Macaca fascicularis: one gene and its partners. The protein of the gene in region 3 binds, or shares a complex with, the protein of the main gene of each other region. Links are inferred from orthologs where the notes say so. Each region holds a gene or a part of one and is shown on either strand. Other genes may lie near its edges.

Evidence for each region.
Region 1: SPTSSA (region 3) and SPTLC1 share a complex: the UniProt entries of both Homo sapiens proteins name them as parts of the serine palmitoyltransferase (SPT) complex. The link is inferred for Macaca fascicularis from reciprocal best matches to the Homo sapiens genes SPTSSA and SPTLC1.
Region 2: the proteins of SPTSSA (region 3) and ORMDL3 are in contact, whole or in part, in a cryo-EM structure (PDB 7CQI), measured with the Homo sapiens proteins. The link is inferred for Macaca fascicularis from reciprocal best matches to the Homo sapiens genes SPTSSA and ORMDL3. Residues at the interface, in NP_612145.2 of Homo sapiens: Ile44, Tyr50, Thr51, Val54, Phe55; in NP_001307730.1 of Homo sapiens: Val36, Leu38, Ser39, Ile40, Pro41, Phe42, Ser44.
Region 4: the proteins of SPTSSA (region 3) and SPTLC2 are in contact, whole or in part, in a cryo-EM structure (PDB 7K0K), measured with the Homo sapiens proteins. The link is inferred for Macaca fascicularis from reciprocal best matches to the Homo sapiens genes SPTSSA and SPTLC2. Residues at the interface, in NP_612145.2 of Homo sapiens: Trp15, Tyr18, Gln19, Leu21, Leu22, Val23, Thr24, Ala25, Tyr27, Met28, Leu29, Glu30, Pro31, Trp32, Glu33, Val36, Phe37; in NP_004854.1 of Homo sapiens: Leu73, Gly77, Val80, Leu81, Phe84, Leu87, Arg88, Leu91, Leu126, Arg129, Ile130, Tyr156, Met475, Pro476, Ala477, Lys478, Gly480, Ala481, Arg484, Glu485, Asp533, Leu534, Leu535, Gln536.
Region 5: SPTSSA (region 3) and SPTLC3 share a complex: the UniProt entries of both Homo sapiens proteins name them as parts of the serine palmitoyltransferase (SPT) complex. The link is inferred for Macaca fascicularis from reciprocal best matches to the Homo sapiens genes SPTSSA and SPTLC3.

Annotation. Positions count from the first base shown.
Region 1 is NC_088389.1:122,396,326-122,401,099, forward strand, and holds the start of SPTLC1 (serine palmitoyltransferase 1), read right to left. Parts: upstream 3,348-4,774; 5' UTR 3,310-3,347; coding exon 3,253-3,309; intron 984-3,252; coding exon 876-983; intron 1-875. UniProt on the Homo sapiens protein: Component of the serine palmitoyltransferase multisubunit enzyme (SPT) that catalyzes the initial and rate-limiting step in sphingolipid biosynthesis by condensing L-serine and activated acyl-CoA (most commonly palmitoyl-CoA) to form long-chain bases.
Region 2 is NC_088390.1:60,982,627-60,987,106, forward strand, and holds the end of ORMDL3 (ORM1-like protein 3), read right to left. Parts: intron 3,940-4,480; exon of another isoform or gene 3,935-3,939; coding exon 3,744-3,934; intron 3,006-3,743; coding exon 2,854-3,005; intron 2,428-2,853; coding exon 2,292-2,427; 3' UTR 788-2,291; downstream 1-787. UniProt on the Homo sapiens protein: Plays an essential role in the homeostatic regulation of sphingolipid de novo biosynthesis by modulating the activity of the serine palmitoyltransferase (SPT) in response to ceramide levels.
Region 3 is NC_088381.1:102,233,195-102,237,475, forward strand, and holds the end of SPTSSA (serine palmitoyltransferase small subunit A), read right to left. Parts: intron 2,940-4,281; coding exon 2,836-2,939; 3' UTR 596-2,835; downstream 1-595. UniProt on the Homo sapiens protein: Component of the serine palmitoyltransferase multisubunit enzyme (SPT) that catalyzes the initial and rate-limiting step in sphingolipid biosynthesis by condensing L-serine and activated acyl-CoA (most commonly palmitoyl-CoA) to form long-chain bases.
Region 4 is NC_088381.1:145,474,134-145,478,414, forward strand, and holds part of SPTLC2 (serine palmitoyltransferase 2), read right to left. Parts: intron 2,016-4,281; coding exon 1,880-2,015; intron 1-1,879. UniProt on the Homo sapiens protein: Component of the serine palmitoyltransferase multisubunit enzyme (SPT) that catalyzes the initial and rate-limiting step in sphingolipid biosynthesis by condensing L-serine and activated acyl-CoA (most commonly palmitoyl-CoA) to form long-chain bases.
Region 5 is NC_088384.1:74,212,297-74,216,577, forward strand, and holds part of SPTLC3 (serine palmitoyltransferase 3), read right to left. Parts: intron 3,990-4,281; coding exon 3,854-3,989; intron 1-3,853. UniProt on the Homo sapiens protein: Component of the serine palmitoyltransferase multisubunit enzyme (SPT) that catalyzes the initial and rate-limiting step in sphingolipid biosynthesis by condensing L-serine and activated acyl-CoA (most commonly palmitoyl-CoA) to form long-chain bases.

The DNA of each region.
Region 1 (4,774 bases), on a different chromosome or scaffold from region 3:
CCCCTAACAGAATATATATCCTATCCCTTCCTCATACTAGCCTTATGAGGAATAGTTATAACAAGCTCTATTTGTCTAAGCCAAACTGACTTAACATCACTTATCGCTTATTCCTCTGTAAGCCACATAGCACTTGTTATCGTAGCTATCCTTATTCAAACCCCCTGAAGCTTTTCAGGCGCAGTCACTTTACATCAACTTCGGCAGTATCAAAATTGTCTGTTGCAACGCAAAAGTCACAGGGAATACACTGCTAGAAATACCATGTCTAGGTGTGGCTAGAATAAAAACAGAATCACTTGTGAGTTTTGTGCACTTACCACGCGCGCCTCTTTCCTTATCACTAGAGCTAGAGGCTCTTTTCCATGTAGTTTTGTGGGTGACTTGACAATTTATGAAAATTTAACTTCTATGCTCAGAATTTTTTTTTCTTTACCATACACAACACATCAAAATTCCATGTGGGGTGGGTATGAGGAGGATTCTTTTCTACTCTGACTCTCCTTCAGGAAGCCCACAGGGGAGACTTCATCCCACACTTCAGAAATACTTGTGCTATTCTGCAGCAACTCACACAACCCTCATATGAACATTCAAACTCCAGCAGCCGCTCAGGCTTCCTCTAACCATCTATTTGCAAGACTGCTGTTGACTCCTAGCAAAGTATCCAAGACATAATATGGTCTTCATTTGGGTACTGACTTTATTTCTAGATTTCCCCATATTTTGCCTACCCTGATATTTCATTCCCCTTGATTTCCTTACATTACAGAAAATGCTTTAACACACATAGTTGAGCCACCAAAAATCCTTTCTGGAAGGACAGAGCAACTATAATCACATACTCAATAATTAAAACAGATTTAATTTCTTACCTTGACTGTAAGATCAGATCGTTCTTGTAATTTGTAAGTCTTAGAGAAAAGAAGTCTGATTATCCAGAGTATCAGAATCCCTTCCAAAATAAGATGGTAAGCAGGAGCCTAAGAGTGAGTCAAATACAAGTAAGAAATGAACCATACACTTCTAACACCTGCACATAAAATTTACTACACCTGCATATACTGCCGCCTATGACTTTTAGCCTATTCGTAACAATTTACTTTAGAAGCTCCCTTAATTTCTATTCATTCCTTTCCCCATTTCTAATAGCAGGCGATTTCTCCTTCACATGAAAAACCCCTAATATTTTTAGCTTTTAAAACTTCTTTGGGAATAAAAATTTAAAAAATAAAATCTAGGCCGGGCGTAGTGGCTCATACCTGTAATCCCAGCACTTTGGGAGGCCGAGGTGGGCAGATTACCTGAGGTAGGAAGTTCGAGACCAGCCTGACTAACATGGAGAAACCCTGTCTCTACTAAAAATACAAAATTAGCTGGGTGTGGTGGCGCACGCCTGTAATCCCAGCTACTTGGGAGGCTGAGGCAGGAGAATCGCTTGAACCCAGGAGGTGGAGGTTGTGGTGAGCCGAGATCATACTGCTGCACTCCAGCCTAGGCAACAGGAGCAAAACTCCATCTCAAATAAATAAATAAATAAAATCTAACACAGAATCCCAATATTTAAAACAATATCAACTATCAGATTATTTAATTTCAGTGGTTATTTCTTTTTTGGGTACACTATACAAGATACTCATATTCTACATTCAATGTGCATAGGAATTGGGAGTAAGAAGTTTATTTTTATCAATTTTAAAATTTGCTCATCCCCCTAAATACAATTCATTTATGAATGTCTAAATACCCTTTTAGTTTTCTCAATAGTTGGATTCTAGCAAGCAAACATCTACCCAAGCCACTAGTTAAGAGTTCACTCCAAAAAGAAATCACCTAAGTTGAGAAACTATTTGTCTAGTGAATAAAAATCACAAACGCCCCTTCTTTTCCTTCCCAGGAAATGTTACATAAAGGAGTTCTCCCAAGTCTCACTGCTGGACAGTTTTGGGGAATGAAAAGTTACATTACTGTCAATCTTCAAAAAGGAAGCAAACAACATTTAACAGAAAATAATCCATTTCTTTAAAAAATCATTTATAAAAAAGATTATTCAATTTTAGTGACTCATTTTAGGTCACTATAATTAATCTAATATTGGGCATCACTTAATATATGAGCATAAGACAGAGCCATATCTGCTGTCTCTGCTATGTTTCAAGATAAAATTTCCAGTATGTCCTGCAATGGAAGACACCATCATTACCCCTACCAGTAGACAGTGATATGAAGTTTGGTGACACTAAGTCATTAAAAGTAACGTGAAATTCACTTGAAATGAATGTAAGCTCTATAGGCACAGGCACTTTTGCCTATTTGTTCACCGCACTATCCCTAGCATCTAGACTTGTGTGGTCCAATGTGGACAGTCACTAAGTTACATGGGGCTATTTAAGTGAAATTTAAAATTCAGTTGCAGCTGGGTGTGGTGGCTCATGCCTGTAATCCCGGCACTTCGAGAGGCCAAAGCAGGAGGACTGCTTGAGGCCAGGAGTTCGAGGCCAGCCTGGGCAACATAGCAAGTACCCCGTCTCTATTTAAAAAATAAAAATAAAAAGATTACTTGGGTGTGGTGGTATCTGGTCCTAGCTACTTGGGAGTCTAAGGCAGGAGAATCGCTGGAACCTGGGAGGCGGAGGTTGTAGTGAGCCGAGATCGCGCCATTGCACTCCAGCTTGAGCAACAATAGCGAAATTCCGTCTCAATAAATAAGTATCTACTAAACTAGTTGTATCTTTATAAGATAGAAAACTGACGTGCGCAGAAGAATGACAAACTATTTCTTATTCACAGATCCTAAATCACTTGGTTTCTTTTCGACAAAAACAAACTCCAATTTATTACAATTTTATTCCCCAACGAACTGTTCCATAGTTCCAAAGAACTGACTTCCTCAGGACGTTCCCAGACCAAGGTTTTCCACTCATTTTCACCACTTCGTTTTATCGTCCGTCTAAACTCTGGTTTTTGCAGACCTGTCTCCTGCGACCCCTTACACATGTTCCTTTCCTGACCCTCCAGGGGACCCGGAGCATAAGAACTCAAACCGAGACCCTCGGTCCCAGCCCCCACCCGTTCCTCCCTACACTCAACCGCTGGGAATAGAAGCTCCCGGCAGTCCTTCCAGCAAGAGACGCCGAGTCTGGGCGTGACCGAGCCAGTCCCGCCGAGGTCCCAGGCCACAAATCCACACGCGCCGTCCCACCCTCCCCAGGCCCGGGTGTGGTCGCGGACCGCTCACGGCGCGGAGCCCACCTCGTAGAGTGCCTGAACCATCTCCACCAGGACCCACTGCTCCGTGGCGGTCGCCATAGTTAACCGCTTCCTTACGGAAGGCGGGTCACAAACACGTTTTAAAAGTGCGCGTCGCCGCTCAGTGACGTCTTCGCCTCCGAGGAGGGCGGGGCGGTGGAGCGCTGGGCACCGCCTCCTCGCACTCGCGCACTGGTTGAGGGGAGGCTGGGAGGGGTCGGGTGGGATTCCGCAAAATTCTTCCAGGGATTGTTTACCTTGTGTCCATTACGCACTCTGCTGGATTTGGGATGGAGAAAGTAGTAATGAACGGGCCTTACCCTTGGCCATCAGTTGGGCGCAGAGTATTAAAATGATTGAAATACGTTTACTTTTTTTTTTTTTGAGACGGAGTTTCGCTCTTGCCCAGGCTGGAGTGCAATGGCACGATCTTGGCTCACCGCAACCTCAGCCTCCCGGGTGCAAGCGATTCTCCTGCCTCAGCCTCCCGAGTAGCTGAGATTAGAGGCGTGCGCCACCACGCCTGGCTAATTTTGTATTTTTAGTAGAGACGGGGTTTCTCCATGTTGGTCAGGCTGGTCTCAAACTCCCGACCTCGGGTGATCCGCCCGCCTGGGCCTCCCAAAGCGCTGGGATTAGAGGCGTGAGCCACCGCGCCTGGCCAATACGTTTACGTTTAGTAACATAAGTAATCCAGGAATGCATTATCATTAAGAAATGCATAATTATACACAAAAATAGCCAACTCAAATAGCACTTCTATTTGTCAGACACAGGCCAAGGCTTTGCAGGTATTAAATCTATAGCAGTTTGGTGCAGAACCTTTTGGAGCCTTACAATGCATATGCAAGCAGTATGCACGCACACATACTTAATTGGATTGGATTTCTTAAATATGATTGAGATCATAGGGACAATACTCTTCTACAACTTACTTTTTTTTTTTTCCCAGCATTTTTTCCCCTAATATATCTCGTATTTAATGGCTGAAGACTTTAATGGAATAATTTATGTATATTTCTCGTTCCATTTTATTTAAACATTTACCTATTGGTGAATACTTATGTTGTTCCCACCTTTCCTCTCTTACAAATAATGCTGCCATAACTGTCGATGTTCCTCCTATGTATATCTTTCTGTGCATGTTGGAGTTTTTCTGACTGGTTTCTTCAAAATGGAATATATCTAAAGACTATGCACGTTATTAATTTTGATAAGTACTGCCAAAATGGCTCAACCAATTAAAATAATTTGAAAGTTTTTCCATGCTGTAGTCCATGATGGATATTATCAATCTTTTAAAAAAATTTGCCAGTTTAATGGAGATAAAATGATACCTCACTAACCTTCATTATTGATGCTTCTGGTTACTCATGAGGTTGCGCAGCTTCTTATATATTTAGTGGCATTTATAGACTGTATGAATCGCCAATTAATATTCTTAATCCATTTTTCTATTGGTTATTTTTGCTTTCTTATGGATTTATAGGAACTCTATACATTCTGCATATCTTACATTTTTCTG
Region 2 (4,480 bases), on a different chromosome or scaffold from region 3:
AGAGGGCCGGTGGCTGGACTTGAGCAAATATCCCACATCCCTGACACTCACTCCAAGGGTGCTGTGATGGTAGACCAGGGCCAGAGACCCCAGGCTGCTGGGGGCAGCCCCTCCCTTCTATCTGGGACTTTGTGCCTCTCCTGAGAATAGCAGCTCATACTGCGCAGAACACACTGGAAGGTCAGTGCCCTCGTGAGATAAGGATTCCTTGCTATAGGACTCCTCTCTCCTAGCCATGGTGGCCTCAGAAAGTCCCCAGAACCTCTTCCCCTGCCACTCAGGCTTATGGTGGGAGCAGGAAGTATGAAAAGTCCCCTCCACTGAAAGGCCAGAAGGAAACACAGCACTCCCAGGGGAGAGGTGACTGGGGAAAGGCCTTGGGGAGAGAAGTGAGAAACTGGAGAAGGGCTGGGGATTTACTGGGAAGGACTGGGCACTGCTTGGGACCCTGGTTCCATGTGTAAACCATTGCCGGACTGCCCCCCTCCCTGGCCACGGCACAGGTCACCCCAGCCTGTGGGGTCAAGGCGCAAGACCAGTCGGAGAACAGCCAGGCAAAAGCACAGAGAATTTTGCTCTCTGACTACTGCTGCCGTCGCTGCCAGTTCCCTCACAGCCCCCTTGGGGGATTTCCCTGCTGAAGCCAGCAGAAAGCCCAGCAGTCCCAGCGCCCCTCCCGCCACCGTCAGAGCTGCACTGATACCCCACCAGCACCTCAGCCGGAGCTGTGCCCACACCCCTGCCCCCTCCCCTCAGCCTTCCAGGAAGCAGAGACCAGACACAGGGAAACAGGAACATGTTGCCCTTTTATTTGCGTTTCTCAGAATACTGTACAAAGGGAGTAAAAATCCTATTCACACTTTGCTTAGAAAGATTTTAAGGTGAAAGTTCCCTATGATACATGGGGTGGGAGATGCAGGGCCAGGAGGCAGAAAACAGGCCCAGTGACCTCTCCTGCTCCCTCAGGCCCCTGGAAGAGGACACAGGGACCCACGCCTTTTCAAAATTAACACTGTCCCTAGTCGAACTGGGGAGGGAGGAGGCCCCGGCCCAGGCTCAGGCTCCCGGCCTCACTTTCTTCTCTGCAGGCTGAGACAGTGCCTACAGGCCACGCCTTGCTCCTTCCTCTGTGCTGCTTGAGCAGGGATCCTACAGGACTCTCACCACCGACCCCACGTGGGGTGGCCTCACAGCGCCACATGTGCCTGCCACATAAGAGGCCCTGCCCAGTGCCAGTCTGCATGAGGAAGCTAAGGGGTGAGGGCCTGCAGAGGACCACAGCATCCATTGTTTCTGTCACAGCTTCCCCGTACCCCTGCGGGAGTCAGGGCCAAGTTGGACCTGTGCTTACAATGACTCATGGGCCTTTTCCCCACCTGTCCACCCAACAGCCAACCCAGGAGTTAAGCCCACAGCAGCCTCCCTCCCCTATTACTATCACATTCTGTGGGTAAATCAACGCTCCAAGCCTGCTTCCCTCCCTGCCCACATCCCAAAGGAGACTGGGTCTAGCTCGTGTCCCTACCCCTCCCTCCCTTACACCAGTCCTCTGCTGCTATGTGGCCCCATTCTTCTAAGTCTCGACTCATTAACCCCCTACAGCTCCCCAACCTCCACCAGGCCAGGATGGCAGCAACCCTGGCCCCTCACCTCTGGGACCAAGCCATCCACACTCCACCCCATCTCCCCCCACCTGACCCTCCCCACTCCCACCCAGGGCCCCGGGTGCGCTGCAGGGAAGCTGCCAAAAGCCTGAGACTTGGATCAGACAGCTCTCTACCCAGAAGGGCAAGGCCCCATCCCACACTTGCTTCCATACACAAAAGCACACACTGCGTGTCATCGAAAAAACCTAGGAATCACAGTGACACAATCCAGAAGCCGTACCGCCCTCCGCTCCCTCCACAGGGGTTAAAGTGCTTTGGCTGCCTGAGGGCAAACAAGTGAGCAGGGGTTTTTCCCCTGGCCTCCTGTCCCAACTGCGTGGTCCATGTTCAGCCCAGGAGCCAAGCCCATTCCATGACCACCTCCATGGAGTCTCTATCCAAAAAGCAAAAGGAAAAGATCAAAAACTTCAGAAAAAGTCAGAGCCCGGGGGGCCTACCCCAACCCCACTACAAGCTACTCCAAGTTGGCTACTGGGGGAAGCCAGGGGGGAAACTAGGCCCAGAGGCTCAACCCCCATCTCTGGCAGTGTCCAGAGGCTTCTTCTTTCTGTCTTCAGTGTCGCAGCACATGCCTTTTACCCTACCCCTCCCCTGCCACCCTGGGCAGGGGAAGGGGCTGCACCCTCAGTACTTATTGATTCCAAAAATCCGGACTCCGTGGAGCTGGGGCAGCTTGGGGATGAGCACGCTCATCAGAGACACAGTGTTGAGGACGAAGTGGATCTGGTCGTACTTAGTGTAGAAGCTGGTGAGGAAGTACCTGGGAGGGGAAGGGTGAGGAGAGAGATAAAAGACTGTTGGGAGGACCCCTTCCTCCCTCACTTCCTGTGTAGGGAAAGGCAGAATCCTGACGGCTAAGGAGTTACAGAAGAGGTCCCCAGACCAGAGTAAGAAGCAAGAGCTCTCAGGCTAAAAAGGCCCCTCCCGGCCCAGCGGGGCCCCCACCTCCCAACTTCACCCCAAGCCTGTGGGCCTATCTCACTAGCAGGAAGAAAGCTCCAATGGAGGAAAGACGGGGCCAGGGAGGCCCAAAGCCTGAGCTCAGTCTAAGACCCAGGAATATTCCAACTTCCTCTGTTCATCCCTACACCAGGAGCCACAGCAGGGTTAATAAGCATGACTGGGCCCTGGGGTCCTCCAGGCCTTGCCCTGCCTGCTGGTGTCTTCCTGTAGCCCAGGCACTCACAACACGATGGGTGTGATGGTCAAGAACTTCCGAGAGGCCGTGAACTGGACCCCATAGTCCATCTGCTCCCAGTGGGTTAGCAGCCTCGCCTTGCCCTGGTCCGGGGTCTCAAAGGGTGTCCCCTTCACCGTGTGCAGGAAGATATACATGCCCTGGAGGACGAGGTCTTTGTTAGAGGATACAAAAGGGAAAAGGGCCCCCTGCCCAGTTCCTCCACCCAGTCACAGACAGAAGTAACTCCCAGTGATCTGGAGCCTCCCTCTGCTGGGCAGGGGGATGTGGGCTGGAGGTCAGGAAGAAGCTGGGAGCCTGGCAGGAGAAGAACAAGGGGACTCCCTGGGGGACAGGCTAGGCCTGGCACGAGAATGCGTAGCCACGAGACAGGCACCGAGATGCTGCCCCTCCAGGCCACTCATAGCCCCCTGTGCCTGCTGGGAGGAGGCAAGCAGATGGGACTAAACCCTGCTTACCCTCCAAAGAGGGCAAGGTAGCAAGTGGTGAGGGAGCAGAGAAGGGCAAGAGTAGAAGACGGTTCGAGAAGCTAACTTGAGAAAGGGGCATTTCTGTACCAGCCTAGGCACCAGGACTCCCGGGTCCTAGGAACTCTCTGGAGTCCTTTGTTTAGCTCTCAGGGGCACATCTTCCAGGCCCACAGCCACCCCACCTGAGAGATGTGGAAAAATCTGCAGATTTGATTCTTATCATGGTACACAGGGCAGGAACCCAGAAGGGGGAGCAAGGCAGAGAGATAAGGACTAGGCCTGGGCTCTGGAGGCAGACGTCAGTACGTCACCCTGACATCTGGGCCAGGCCCAACAGGCTCCTCCTATCCCTCAGCCCTGCCAAAGAGCAGCCCAGAGGGCAGGAGCAGGCAGCAGGCAGGCTCTCACCATGTTGTGGATGAGGTTGGTGAGGGTCCAGACGACAGGCACACTCACGAAGGGGATGCTCAGCAGCACAACGTGGAGGAGCCCGATGGCCAGCACGTAGGAGAGCCAGATGCCACGGCTGTTCATCACCCGCGTGTTGGGGTTCACCTCGCTGTGCGCTGTGCCCACATTCATCCTGCTGCCCCTCTCCACTGTTCTGCAAACAAGCAGCACAGGTCAGACAGGTCACACTGCTTTCCCTGCCCCCTCTCACCCTCGGATCCCACTGGGAGGCAGGCTCTTCCTTCCCTGAGAACTCCAGGCAGTTCCACTCTTTTGATTCTCAAGCATGGAAGGTGGAGAAAGTCCATGTGGACTTAGCTCTACTCATTTCCTGCTGCTGGGCTGGGATAAACAGCAGGCTGCCCCACGCATTATCCCATTGGGACAGGGCCCTGGCAGGGCATTGGAGGACAGGTCATCAAGAGGCATGCAGCCCAGAGCAGAGAAGTCAAGGCCCATCCCCCAGCCTCACCCCCTATGGCACTCCCATGAGGACCCTCTGCCGACAAAGCCCCAGAGACAGAATTCTCACTCAGCACAACCCCTGCTGGACTGTGTCTCACTGAGGGCCTGATGTGGGACATCCACTCTTAAGCCCTTCCCATCAGGAGGGAAAGAAGTGAGGCCTGTGGGTACAGGCAGCAGTGGACGAACTATTTTGAGGTCACTGCATCCACTCACCTCCTCTAATTTTT
Region 3 (4,281 bases):
GATAAAACTTGAACAGACAAGATTTTGCCTTTTATGGATGAGCAAGGAAAGTGGTTTCTTGAGATGGCCTATACTCCTGCTGAAGATGCTATGAACATTGTTGAAATTACAACGAAGGATTTAGAATATTTTATAAACTTAGTTGATAAAGCAACAGCAGGGTTTGAAAGTATTGATTCCAATTTTGGGGGAAGTTCCATTGTGGGCGAAAGGCTATCAAATAGCATTACATGCTACAGATAAATCTTTCATGAATGAAGAGTCGATCAATGCAGCAAACTTTATTGTTGTCTTATTTTTTAAAATTGCCATAGCCACCCCAATCTTCCGCAACTATGACCCAGATCAGTCAGCAGCCATCAACATCAAGGCAAGACCCTCCACCAACAAAAAATTATGACTTGCTGAAGGCTCAAATAATCATTGGCTTTTTTTAGCAATAGATAATTTTTTAATTAAGATAGGTACATATGGGTTTTGTTTTTGTTTTTGTTTTTGTTTTGCCATAACGCTATTGCACACTTAATAGACTACAGGATGGTGTAAATGTAACTTTTATATGCAGGGGAAAACCAAAAAACTTCATGTGACTCACTTTATTGAGATATTCACTTTATTGCAGTGGTCTGAATCTGAACCCACAATAACTACAAGGTATGCTTGTAAATACCTTATTTTAAACAAAAAGTGAAAATTATTTCCCTGTTTGTTATTTACTAACAAATAGACTAGACATTTGCATCAGACAGTGAGCATAAACTTCCCTGATCACCTCTCAAGAGACATGCTCCCATTTCTCTTTTGACTCTCCTAAAGATTTCCTGTAAGACTAAATTTTATCTTCCGTATGTCTCACAGGTCAGTGTTCATAATAACCATCAGTTATACAACAGCAATTTAATGAATTTCAGCAGAGTGAGGACAAATTGCAGGTTTCTGAGTAGAGGGCCAGGATAGGTCATCTGGATACCCATTGAAACTAATGATTCTCGACTTTTCCTGCCTTCAACTCACCACAGGAATATTAGACATCCACTTGTTAGTGGTTCTCTATGGGGGATAGTAGAGGAAAGCCAAATTTGGGCATTAATAGAACAAATCTTAAGTTAAATCCTCATATTATTTTTCTTGAGATAGTATGACCATAGCTCAGATATAACCATATCCAAGTTTTAACTACTTCAAACCAAGTAATTACATATTATTCTCACTATTCCTAATTGTGATATCAATTGACTCTAAAAATATTAAACATGTATATATTACTTGAGACCTCTAGACTATAAAATACTTCAAAAGTCTAGTCCTTAAAATGTTGGGCAAAAAATACCTCAATTTTGGCCGGGCACGGTGGCTTACGCCTGTAATCCCAGCAGTTTGGGAGGCCAAGGCAGGTGGATCAGGAGGTCAGGAGTTCAAGACCATCCTGGCCAACATAGTGAAACCCCATCTCTACTAAAGATACAAAAAATTAGCCAGGCATGGTGGTGCGTGCCTGTAATCCCAGTTACTCAGGAGGCTGAGGCAGGAGAATCACTTGAACCCAGGAGGCAGAGGTTGCAGTGAGCCAAGATCATGCTATCGCACTCCAGCTTGGGCGACAGGGTGAGACTCCGTCTCAAAAAAAAAAAAACACACACACACATAATGCCTACTTTTTTAAAATTAGCAACATTTTCATGTTGCAAGACATATAGGATAAAACATACTTACTGCTTATCTGGTCCTCCACAGAAATAATTCAGAAATGTAAATACTAGATCAATATTTAACCATTAAGGAAAAGATATACTGCTACATCAGCTGATTTTTTTCTCTTTGAATTTAATGTATTTACATCAAAAAATTAGGTAGTCATTTTACATTTAAGGAATAAAAACCTTAAAAAAAACAATACAAAGAGTGAAAAGATTTTAACCAAGTTTACATTTCTTTTTGCTATAATTTTTAACAACAATTCGTCTCATCATAACTTAATGCAATGTGCAAATGCAGCACCCATTACAATCATTAAACTAAATTTAAGGAAGTCCACTGTTAATAGTGACCCTCAGAAGAAATGGATTTCTCTTCTATTAAAAACTCTATGGTATATAAGCATTACATAATAATGCTACTTAACCACCTTTTGTCTCAAGAATTATCACCAAAGTTTTGTGGAAATAAGTCCACATAAGAATAAAATATTTAAAAGGTGAAACGTTCTTTATTTTAACTTTAGCAAGATCTTTTCTTTTTCATTAAGAAACAATTTAATAATTTTAAAGCAAAAGCTGTTAGAGTCTAGATAGCTAAAACTGTACTCCTGAGTTCAAGCTTACAGATCTTTTGTAAGTAGTTCTCAATAAAATATCTTCCCTCCCCATACCCCTACCCGAAATCTTATATTGTTCTTACAAAACTTTGGTCAAGAGTAGAAATATATCCAGGCAGATGTATATGCCATACAATAGCAAGAACAGTAAAGCCCAACTAATGATTTTGAGTTTTAAAAATAGAAGGCAATTAAAATGTACTCAAAGTCACATTAAGAAAAGCTTTCACGGGGGTAATATTGAAACAGTCACAAAGGTTAAGAAAATACTGATATCAAAGTACAAATGACTACAATGTTAAAATAGACAAAAACTGCTATACAAGAGCCTCTTTGAAAATTAAAAATAAAGAACACAACACATGAGTCAGGATGATTTTCCTGTTCTACTCATGAATTTTAGTCTTTATAAGGTTGGTTATGTTGACATCTAGAAGAGTTTCTTATCACATCTGATGGTCTCATTCCAACTTCGTAGGGTGGGTCTTCCCCAAGGAACCTCTGATCCTGCCGCATCTTGGTCATTGTACAATTTCAAAGTAGTGCAATATCGCCATGATGTGCTGGGGCATGAAGACGTATCCTGTGTATAGTGCCATCCCCACAATGGAAACCAGCATTGAATCTGAGTTGTAGTTAAGGAAACTTATTATTATTAATTTATTCAAAACTAAATCCCCACATGTTTTCAACAACTCTTTTATGATGAAGTACCCATTCACTTAGTACTTTCTCATTTATATCAAGCACTGATAAAAAAAAAAAAAACAAGAACGATAATGCTAGCTACTAACAACTATGCCTGGCACCATTCTAAGTTGGTTTTTGTTTTGTTTTGTTTTGTTTTTAGCTCATTCATCTTTACTACCACCATATAAGGTAGGTACTGTTATTCTCCCTGTGTAGTCAAAAACATCAGACTGCTTAAAATGTTTTTTTTTCTTCTCTTTTTTTTTTCTTTTTTTTCTTTTTTTGTTTTTGGAGACGGAGTTTTGCTCTTGTTGCCCAGGCTGGAATGCAGTGGCATGATCTCGGCTCACTGCAACCTCTGCCTCCTGGGTTCAAGCGATTCTCCTGTCTTAGCCTCCTGAGTAGTTGGGATTACAGGCGCCCGCCACGACGCCCAGCCAAGTTTTGTATTTTTAGTAGAGACAGGGATTCACCATGTTGGCCAGGGTGGTCTCAAACTCCTGACCTCAGGTGATCCACCAGTCTCGGTCTCCCAAAGTGCTGGGATTACAGGCGTGAGCCACTGCACCCAGCAGGACTGCTTAAAATGAAGCACAGGATGTGACACTGTTCTACCTAAGAAATAAATATACAGGAATAAAATTCTATTTAATGACTGTAAAAGATCTACCAACTTAACTAATAAGAATGTATGATCAAAGAATTTTAGAATTAGTTAGACTAGAATGTGGCTAAAAGTATTTTTAGAGTCACACAGAGCTAAAATCAATCATACACTAGCTTAGGGATATATAAAATGACAGCAACTGCTACTATCAAACGTTTATTTATTATTATCACTATTAAACATCATTATCACTATTGCTACTATTTGCAACAACTTCAAATAAAAGTCATCTTGATAACCTAAACAATAACCTTTCTGTACTGTGCTCCTTTATTACAAAAGGAACTGAAACTGCATATATGGAAGTCAACAAGAGGTCTCTCCTCTGGGGCCACACAAAATACTGCTAGCAAAAATTATGTCAAATCTAAGGGCTTTTGGCTTTGCACAGTTACATAGGATGCTAAGAGGAATAACTGCTTTTGAACTGGGGTCATGCTTTATTAATTCATTCATATTCTCATTTATTCTCTCTCTCCTCTTCCACTTGCCTTTCCCCTTTCTCAACTCTACATACCTTTACATACTATTATTTCTAAAATAACTTACATTCTTTTATGAGAAGATAGGGTTTAAATAAGCAATGTGCTTACTACCAACTAATATTTGT
Region 4 (4,281 bases), about 43 Mb from region 3:
TTGTTGACCTCCCTTATGTTTTAACTTCTCCTTTAAGCTATTTACAGCATTTGTTTGAGAATTAAAAAATCTGGCCGGGCCAGTGGCTCATACCTGTAATCCCAGCATTTTGGGAGGCCGAGCTGGGCAGATCACCTGAGGTCAGGAGTTGGAGACTGGCCTGGCCAACATGGTGAAACTCCATCTCCACTAAAAAATACAAAGATTAGCCAGGTGTGGTGGCACACATCTGTAACCCAGCTACTGGGGAGGCTGAAGCACAAGATTTGCTTGAACCCAGGAGGTGGAGGTTACAGGAAGCCGAGATCACGCCATTGCACTCCAGCCTGGGCAATATAGATCCTGCACATTTGGCATTACATTAATGCCAGCCTTTTCAGCCTTTTCCCACTCTCTGTAGTACTGGTACATCTTCCTCAACATACCTCCGTTGTGTCAGCATGAACCTGGGTGCCCTGTAACTTCAGCACAGGCTCCCAAACTGTCTAGTGCCTTATTCTAATTCTTCTTCACCTTCTCTAAATCTTTCCTAATTAAAGTATACACAGTCAGTTGCACCTATATAGAATAAAGGAGACACAGCCTTCTTTAAAGAGAGAGCTCTAGACTGAGTCCTTTGGATCTGATAACTCTTCGTGTTTGTTTATGAGAATTCCACTTAAAGAAGAATGAAGAAAATCCTTCCCCATATCCCCTCTGAAGCCATAATACTAACTACCCATATGACTTCATGTTGAAACCCGAATTCCTCTTTTTCTCTCAGGGAGGACCTTTTCCTTACTTCCCTTTCATTTTCTTTGAATCACATTACTTCCAGGCTCCCTGATTTAATTTCCTCCCCCTTTTCATTTCAGTAAACACTTACTGAGTGTTGGAGACTGTGGTGGACACGGGGGATTAAAAAATTTTTAAAAATTGCTCCTTCAATGAGTTCAAACTGGAGAAATGCTTTAAGATCCAGCTCAAAACTCACCCATCCAACGAGATGTGCCTTTCTTACTGAGCCTGTACTCAGCAGGTCGCTCCTTTATTCTGCATCTGCAGGGCCACTTTGCATATAATAAAATTTGTTCAGTATAATTACTGTTCATTTGCTTTTCAAATGTCTTCTGGTTTCATTATATATCTGGACTTCTCAAATACATTGAAAGCTATCGTAGGGCAAGACTTTCCATTATGTATGCCTCGTACAAACCAAAGAAGCTGGTGTAATCTGCACACCTGGCAAGTATCCAGTAACAAACACACTCTGATAAAATCTCTCTGACCTCATGGCCCATTGCTCCCCCTGGGACACTGTGCTGCAATTCTAGGGACCTCTCTGCTACTCTTAGGTCACCTAAGCAAGCGCGCTCCTGCACTGTGGCCTTTGCACAGATGCTTCTTTCTCCAATGGTTAACTGTCAGCTCCTTCAAATCATTTTTCCTTCCCATGGAGGCTTACTTACCCTGACCACGCTATTTAATAGTGTTATCTGCCCGCCCACAGGGCACTCTCAACTCCCCATATAGGTCCTGCTCTATTTTTTTCCATAGCACTTGACACCTTCTAACATAGTACACAGTTCATTTATTACGTCTGTCTGACTGTTGCCCCTACTAGACTGTAAGCTCTACAAGGACAGAGATGTTTGTATTTTATTCACTGATCTATCCCAGGCCCCTAGAGAGTACATGAAACTCAAATGTTTAATGAAAGAACAACAAATTAACATACCTAACAATTTGGAATTCACTATTTGATCTATGTCATATGTACCAAATGAAGGTTAACACAATAAGGACAAGACCGTTTTCCCTAACGAAATACATAAGCCCTAGTCTCACATCACAGATAAGTATAAGGACAGACTAGTCTGTGATCTGCAACAAAACATACCCAATTTTGGCAGGCATGTAGAGCATCAAAGGCACTACTGGAGAGTCTTCATTTCCATAGATGATGAAGCCCATCTCCTTCAGGCGTCTCCTGAAATACCTGGTGTTTTCGGCTAACTGCTGTACACACTCTTTACCTGCAAAGTCGTGGTGAGAGAAAACAAAATAATATTAAGTAAAAAGGAATGGAAAAAAAGACAGCAATCTCCTCTATCTCCATTCTACCTAATCAGTTCTGTTTCGTTTTTTCCCATTTCACCATAAAATATTTTACACAGTAAACTGAAAGGACTATAAATGTAAAATGTCTCATTTTGTATTCTGTCATTCTACCTGTTAACAGCAGAAGTTATAATAATGTAAAAAACGTTTAATGGAGCGTTAGCATCCTCAAAGAATTTCAGCCATACCCCCTCACTGAGCACTCCACAAATCCCTTGACAGTAGGCAGGGTATTTATGATTATCTTCATATGATAGGTCAAGAGACTCTCACCAAGGTGGTGACATGCCTACAGTTGCACAACAGTAGGTGCCACATTACAAGTAGCAAGTGGCACAGCTTCAACTAGAATTTACGTCTTCTAACTTTAAGATTCATTCCAATCAACTGTGATGCAAATAAATTTTACACATGAGACCAGAGATGAAGCAATTTAGTCCCTCAAATTTTCATCTTCTGAGTTTCATTTTGTTGTTTCCTTACAATTTTTTTTTTTTTTTTTTTTTTTTTTGAGACGGCATCTCGCTCTGTTGCCCAGGCTGGAGTGCAACGACACGATCTCAGCTCACTGCAATCTCTGCTTCCCGGCTTCAAGCAATTCTCCTGTCTCAGCTTCCTGAATAGCTGGGGTTACAGGCGCACACCACCACTTCCAGCTAATTTTTGTATTTTTAGTAGAGACAGGGTTACGCCATGTTGGCCAGGCTGGTCTCGAACGCTTAACCTCAAGTGATCCGCCCACCTTGGCCTCCCAAAGTGCTGGGATTACAGACGTGAGCCACTGCACCCTGCCTGTTTCCTTAAAACTCTAATCAGACAGCAGTAGCATATTTGTAACAGTATAAAGTCGTATCTTTAATCCTATTGTGCTCATCTTCCCTAAAACACAAATGGATTAAAACGCACATTTCTGTAACTGCGAACTGACTAAATAATTGGGCAGGTTTTGACATTATGGTAAATTGATCTTTGAAAAGATATCCAAATAATTGTTCTGTTATACAGAGCAATGCAATAAATTTAAAAGATCCACTTGTAAAAGGCTAAGAACTATTTTAGAATCTTCTCAACCATAAATACTCATGAATAAAAAAGGCTGCAGTAATTTTCATATATAGATTATAAAATCAGCAATTTTTTTTTCTTTTTTCTTTTTTTTGAGATGGAGTCTTGCTCTGTCGCCCAGGCTGGAGTGCAGTGGCGTAATCTTGGCTCACTGCAAGCTCCGCCTCCCAGGTTCACGCCATTCTCCTGCCTCAGCCTCCCAAGTAGCTGGGACTACAGGCGCCCACCACCTCGCCCGGCTAATTTTTTGTATTTTTAGTAGAGACGGGGTTTTACCGTGTTAGCCAGGATGGTCTCGATCTCCTGACCTTGTGATCTGCCCACCTCGGCCTCCCAAAGTGCTAGGATTACAGGCGTGAGCCACCATGCCCAGCCAAAGTTCTTATTTTTAAAAATCCAAACATGATACATAAGTTCTTATGACAAATTAGCCAGACATACAGATAGCTAACAAATGTCCTTAGAATTGGAATACTAACATATCCATCATTCATGGGAAGCTACTCTAGATAAGTTGGCCACAAATAAGTCAAAATTAATACTCTTTATGCAGATAATTTCAAGTTGATCAGAGAAAAACACTCAAGCTTAGATTAGCCTCGTGTGAACACTGAAGAGCATCATTTATGTCATCATTTAAGTTACAAAGAAGAAAGCAGATATTAAAGTGTGTTATATTTAAGTATGTTGGGAACTGATGAGCCAAGTACCCTAATTTCCCCCTAGAAATATCAATACCTGCTTAATCTACATTTAGAAGATGAGACTTCTTTCAGTCATGGAGTACTAGAGACTGGATTTACCTTCCTGCTGTAAACAATAGGAAACTGGACAAAGTACATAAACAATGACTTTTAGACACTGAGCCACGGGGAGTGCCAGACTGCGTTGCCTGAAGGCAGGCCACAGGCTGCTGCACAGGGAAGGAGGGCCCAGTCTTGCCAGCTGAGGACATCTGAGATTGGAGTGGAGAGCTGTCCGTTGAGATCAGAGCTGGGGAGGCTGCGGGGGCTAGAATTTGCTGGGCAGTGTACAGGAGCAGGGAGCGGGGGTGTGATGAGAGCACTTTAGGGATCTGCAGAGGGGTCCCTTTGAACTTTGGGAAGAGTACTGATT
Region 5 (4,281 bases), on a different chromosome or scaffold from region 3:
TTGTGTTTGTACTCCCCGAAGCAATTGGCAATAGGCTGAAAGAAACTAAACTATGTGAAATAATAATAATAATAATGATAATAAACATTAGCATTGCATTGTATGCAGAATCACTACCTCTTGTATAACACCATCTTCCAAGTGTATTACATGAACAGGGGAAGAAAAATGCAAACCCTTTACCAAATACCAAATACAATACATTCTTGATTATTTAAGTATGTTTTATGGGTGAAATCACATTACACAGCTCTCTAGAAGATTCCAGTGGTAGACTTATAACAAGGCTTTGTTCAAAAGGATAACTTGCTACAGACTATGTTTTCATTCTGCATAGGAGGAAACGTGGAGATCACCATTCTTTAGTAAAATCAAAGGTTTTAAAATGACCAAATGAAAGAAGTGCTTCCACACTGGCTTATACAATTAACACCCTATTTCAAAAACGTCTCTACCTATAAACTTCCAACAAAGAAATATCACAGAAGGGAACAAAGCCAGACAGCAGGGCAAACTCTTGCCAGCAACTCCTACCGGTAACAGATAATACTACCTTTTGTAACTAACCTGTTCTGTTTCGTTAGGTGAGCCAGATTTTTTTTTTTTTCTGTTTGTAGTGATTGCTGCCTTTTGAATCACCAATGATGACATTAAAAATAGTTATAGTTATACTCTGTGTTGCTTTAATGAGATGTGCATTTTTTCCCTATGGACTAAAGCTTGAGAGATTGTGTTCTGTGTTCAAAAGAGCTCTAATTTATGAAGCCAATGAAACTGGCTTTGAATTCTAGGCTCTGCTGCCTGCAACCTGTGTGAGTCTTAGAGAGCAATTTTTTTTTTTTTTTTTTTTTTTAGACAGAGTTTCATGCTTGTTGCCCAGGCTGGAGTGCAGTGGTGTGATCTCAGCTCACTGCAACCTCTATCTCCCGGGTTCAAGCGATTCTTCTGCCTCAGTCTCCCAAGTAGCTGGGAGTATAGGTGCCTGCCACCATGCCCAGCTAATTTTTTTTTTTTTTTTTTTGTATTTTTAGTAGAAACAGGGTTTCACTGTGTTGGCCAGGCTGGTTTCAAACTCCTGACCTCAGGTGATCCACCTGCCTCGGCCTCCTAAAATGTTGGGATTACAGGTATGAGCCACCACACCCGGCCTTAGAAAGTAATTTGACCTTTCCAAGTCTTAGCATCTTCATATATAAACTAGGGCTAAACATCCTACCCTCCATGGGTAATCACTGAGGTCTAATAGCCTTACTTAGCATATATTTAGTACTCTGTGATATTAGCTCTTCTTAAAAAACAATCTTAAGTTGAAAGAAACAAGATGGTTTGACATATTATCCAGTGAATATAGCAATATGGAAGTGGAGTGTAGCAGGATCTTTACCTACTATTTTTTTCTGGACGTTTTATTTTTCGTAATGCAACCAAAAATTGTAATAATTATTTTGGAGAGCTGTGCAACCATGGTGACTCAACCTTGTACTCAGTTGAAACTGATAATGATCATCATTGTTGCAGAGTAGTAGTAGTAAAATGGCTACCACTGATTGAATGCTTAGGGCACGCCAACTACTATATTAGGTGCTTTGTACACATTACTAAAAATGACATTATTAATGACTTTATTGATTAATGCTATTAATAATGACAGCTAACACTGAATAGCTCTTATATAAGAGGTAACAGGCTAACTGCTTTATGGACATCATCTTGTTTAATCTTCACAGTAACCTTATGAAATCGATACTATTATGTCCCATTTTATAAATGAGAAAGCTGGAGCTTCAGAAAGCTGAGTAACTTGTCCAAGAATCCCCAGCTAGGAAGAGGAATAATCAAATTTCTTTTTGATTCCAAACCTTTCACCACACCATAGAGCATAACTTTTATATGAAGCATATTGTTCATAGCATATTGTATGAATTCTTGAAGTTACGTGCATTTGTTTTCACTACTTACGGACTCTTCTCATTGGGTTGGTTCAGTTTTCCAACCTGTTGGAATTCTAATTCTGGCTTTTGTTATTAAAGTTGGAACTATCCAGAACACTCCCTACTGTCAGTGTAACACTCCAGAATTATGTGTGTTTTACCTTGGACACGTTTATTTTCAGTGCCTTCTTTTGAGCTAATGATAAAATACTAGATAAACCTGAGCTAAGTTTGGACTATTTCTTCCAACACACATCATTTCCCCAATCATTTTGAATAAATGTATGTGTGTCTGTGCATGTGTGTGTGTTTGTGTGTCTTCAAAAATCAGGTGGTTAAAGGCCTTTGGATTGTCTGCTACTTTCAGTCACCGTTGTCACCCCTCCTTGACATTATCACACAGCAGTACGATGTATAACATTTCTGTGGCACATTATGTCCTCAGACACTTCAGGCACTGTTTTCCTGACCAAATCTGTGAACAAAGGGCCAACTGGTGGGAATGATGTGGCATGCTAAAAACTCATGTGTGTTTTAACTGCTTGTGATTTTGCTGTGGTAAAATGGCCCAAGACATAGTCTGAAGAATCAGTCTTTTAGGAACTTAAAACTCAGTCTTGCCCTCTGTGAGTTTTCATGAGTAAGCCCCAAGCCTCTTTGATTGGTATTTTTCTATACTTCAAGTACTCTGCCAATCTAGTCAGGCTATTAGAGAGTCAAACAAAGTTCCAGCAATGGGTTACACTGGAGGGGAGTTAGGACCACTAGAATTTGATGCATAGTATGTTGAATATGAATTTCTATCATGTGCTTGGTCAGAGACACAAACATTTTACCTTCAGAAAGGATTTTAGTTAACTTCCTTTTTTTTTGAGACAGGGTCTCATTCTATCACCCAGTCACCTAGGCTGGAGTGCAGTGGCACAATCTCAGCTCACTGCAACCTCTGCCTCCTGGGGTCAAGTGATCCTCCTGCCTCAGCCTCCCTAGTAGCTAGGACTACAGGCATGCACCACCACGTCCACCTAATTTTTGTATTTTTAGTAGAGACAGGGTTTCACCATGTTGGCCAGGCTGGTCTTGAACTCCTGACCTCAGGTGATCCACCTGCCTCACCCTCCCAAAGTACTGGGATTACAAGCATGAGCCAATGTGCTCTGCTAGTTAACTTCCTCTTAACAACATGTAATTAGTCTAATTATATTAGTCTCTAGTAGGTTGGAGAAGGACTCACGTATAAAATTGTCCCTGCCAAACTGACAAAAAGTCATGTTCTCCTCTTTATACAGTTGTTGCTAATGCTCAGTTTCAAAGTTACAATCAAGTAAACAACCCCCAAACAGGTTCACAGTAAGGGCATGAGAAACTGAGCATGAGCTTCAATGTGAGCCTTGGTTTGGGTTTTTGCATCTTAGTTTTACTGCTGTTTGACTTGTATGACTTGGGGCAGGTTGCTTAACTGCTCTCAGCCTCAGCTTCCCCATGCTTGAAGTGAGAATGTCCTCTTCTGAGGATGGCCACAGAGTTCAATGGGAGAAAGCACAGAGCCTGATCACATTGTTTTGATGGTAATATGGGGAGAGATGATCTTCAGAAGTTCTCCCTGAGAATGGTCTTGGGTCAGAAGGAGGCTCAGGATCGTGCTTAATTTACAGGTGAGGCTGAGGGAGATAAGTGATTTCCCTGATTTCACAGGACTTGAATTTAGGGAGACAGCTCAATCTTAGCACCTGGTTCCCTTTCTGTAAGACCTGTGGGAAGGGTCTAGCTGATAGGCTGGCAGGTGGCTTCTGAGCAGCTGTATGAGTGAATTCTGAACTCAATCACCCCATTCCAAATGCATAATCTGATGCCTGTGCCAAAAAGCCATCTTAGGTCACCTTGGGGTTTAGGTGTGATTATGAGATGCCTTGGATACTTACGCTACTTTACCAGGCATGTAAAGAAGCAGAGGAACAACAGGAGAATTCTCATTGCCATAGATAATGAATCCCATTTCCTGCAGTCTTTGTCTGAAGTATCTTGTGTTTTTCGCAAGTTGCCGTACTCTCTGCAACCCTGAAAAGAGACAGGCGTGAAATCCATCAATTTCCGCTAGAAAGAGGGAAGTAAAGTTCAGGTCAACTTGGCAAGCATCTCTAAGTCTTTCTGCAGGTCAGCAGCACTAGCTGGGAGGAGGAAGTAGGGAAGGGAGATATCTCCTGGGGAGTAGGTGTGGGCACTGATGCCCAGGTACTGCACTGAACCTGGAAGGCAGGAAGAGAGGTAGATGATGCTGTGAGGTGCTGCAAGCAACTGAAGCCAGGCTACGCTAGAAGGCCAGTGGGAGGCAGGGGAGGTACCTATTTTT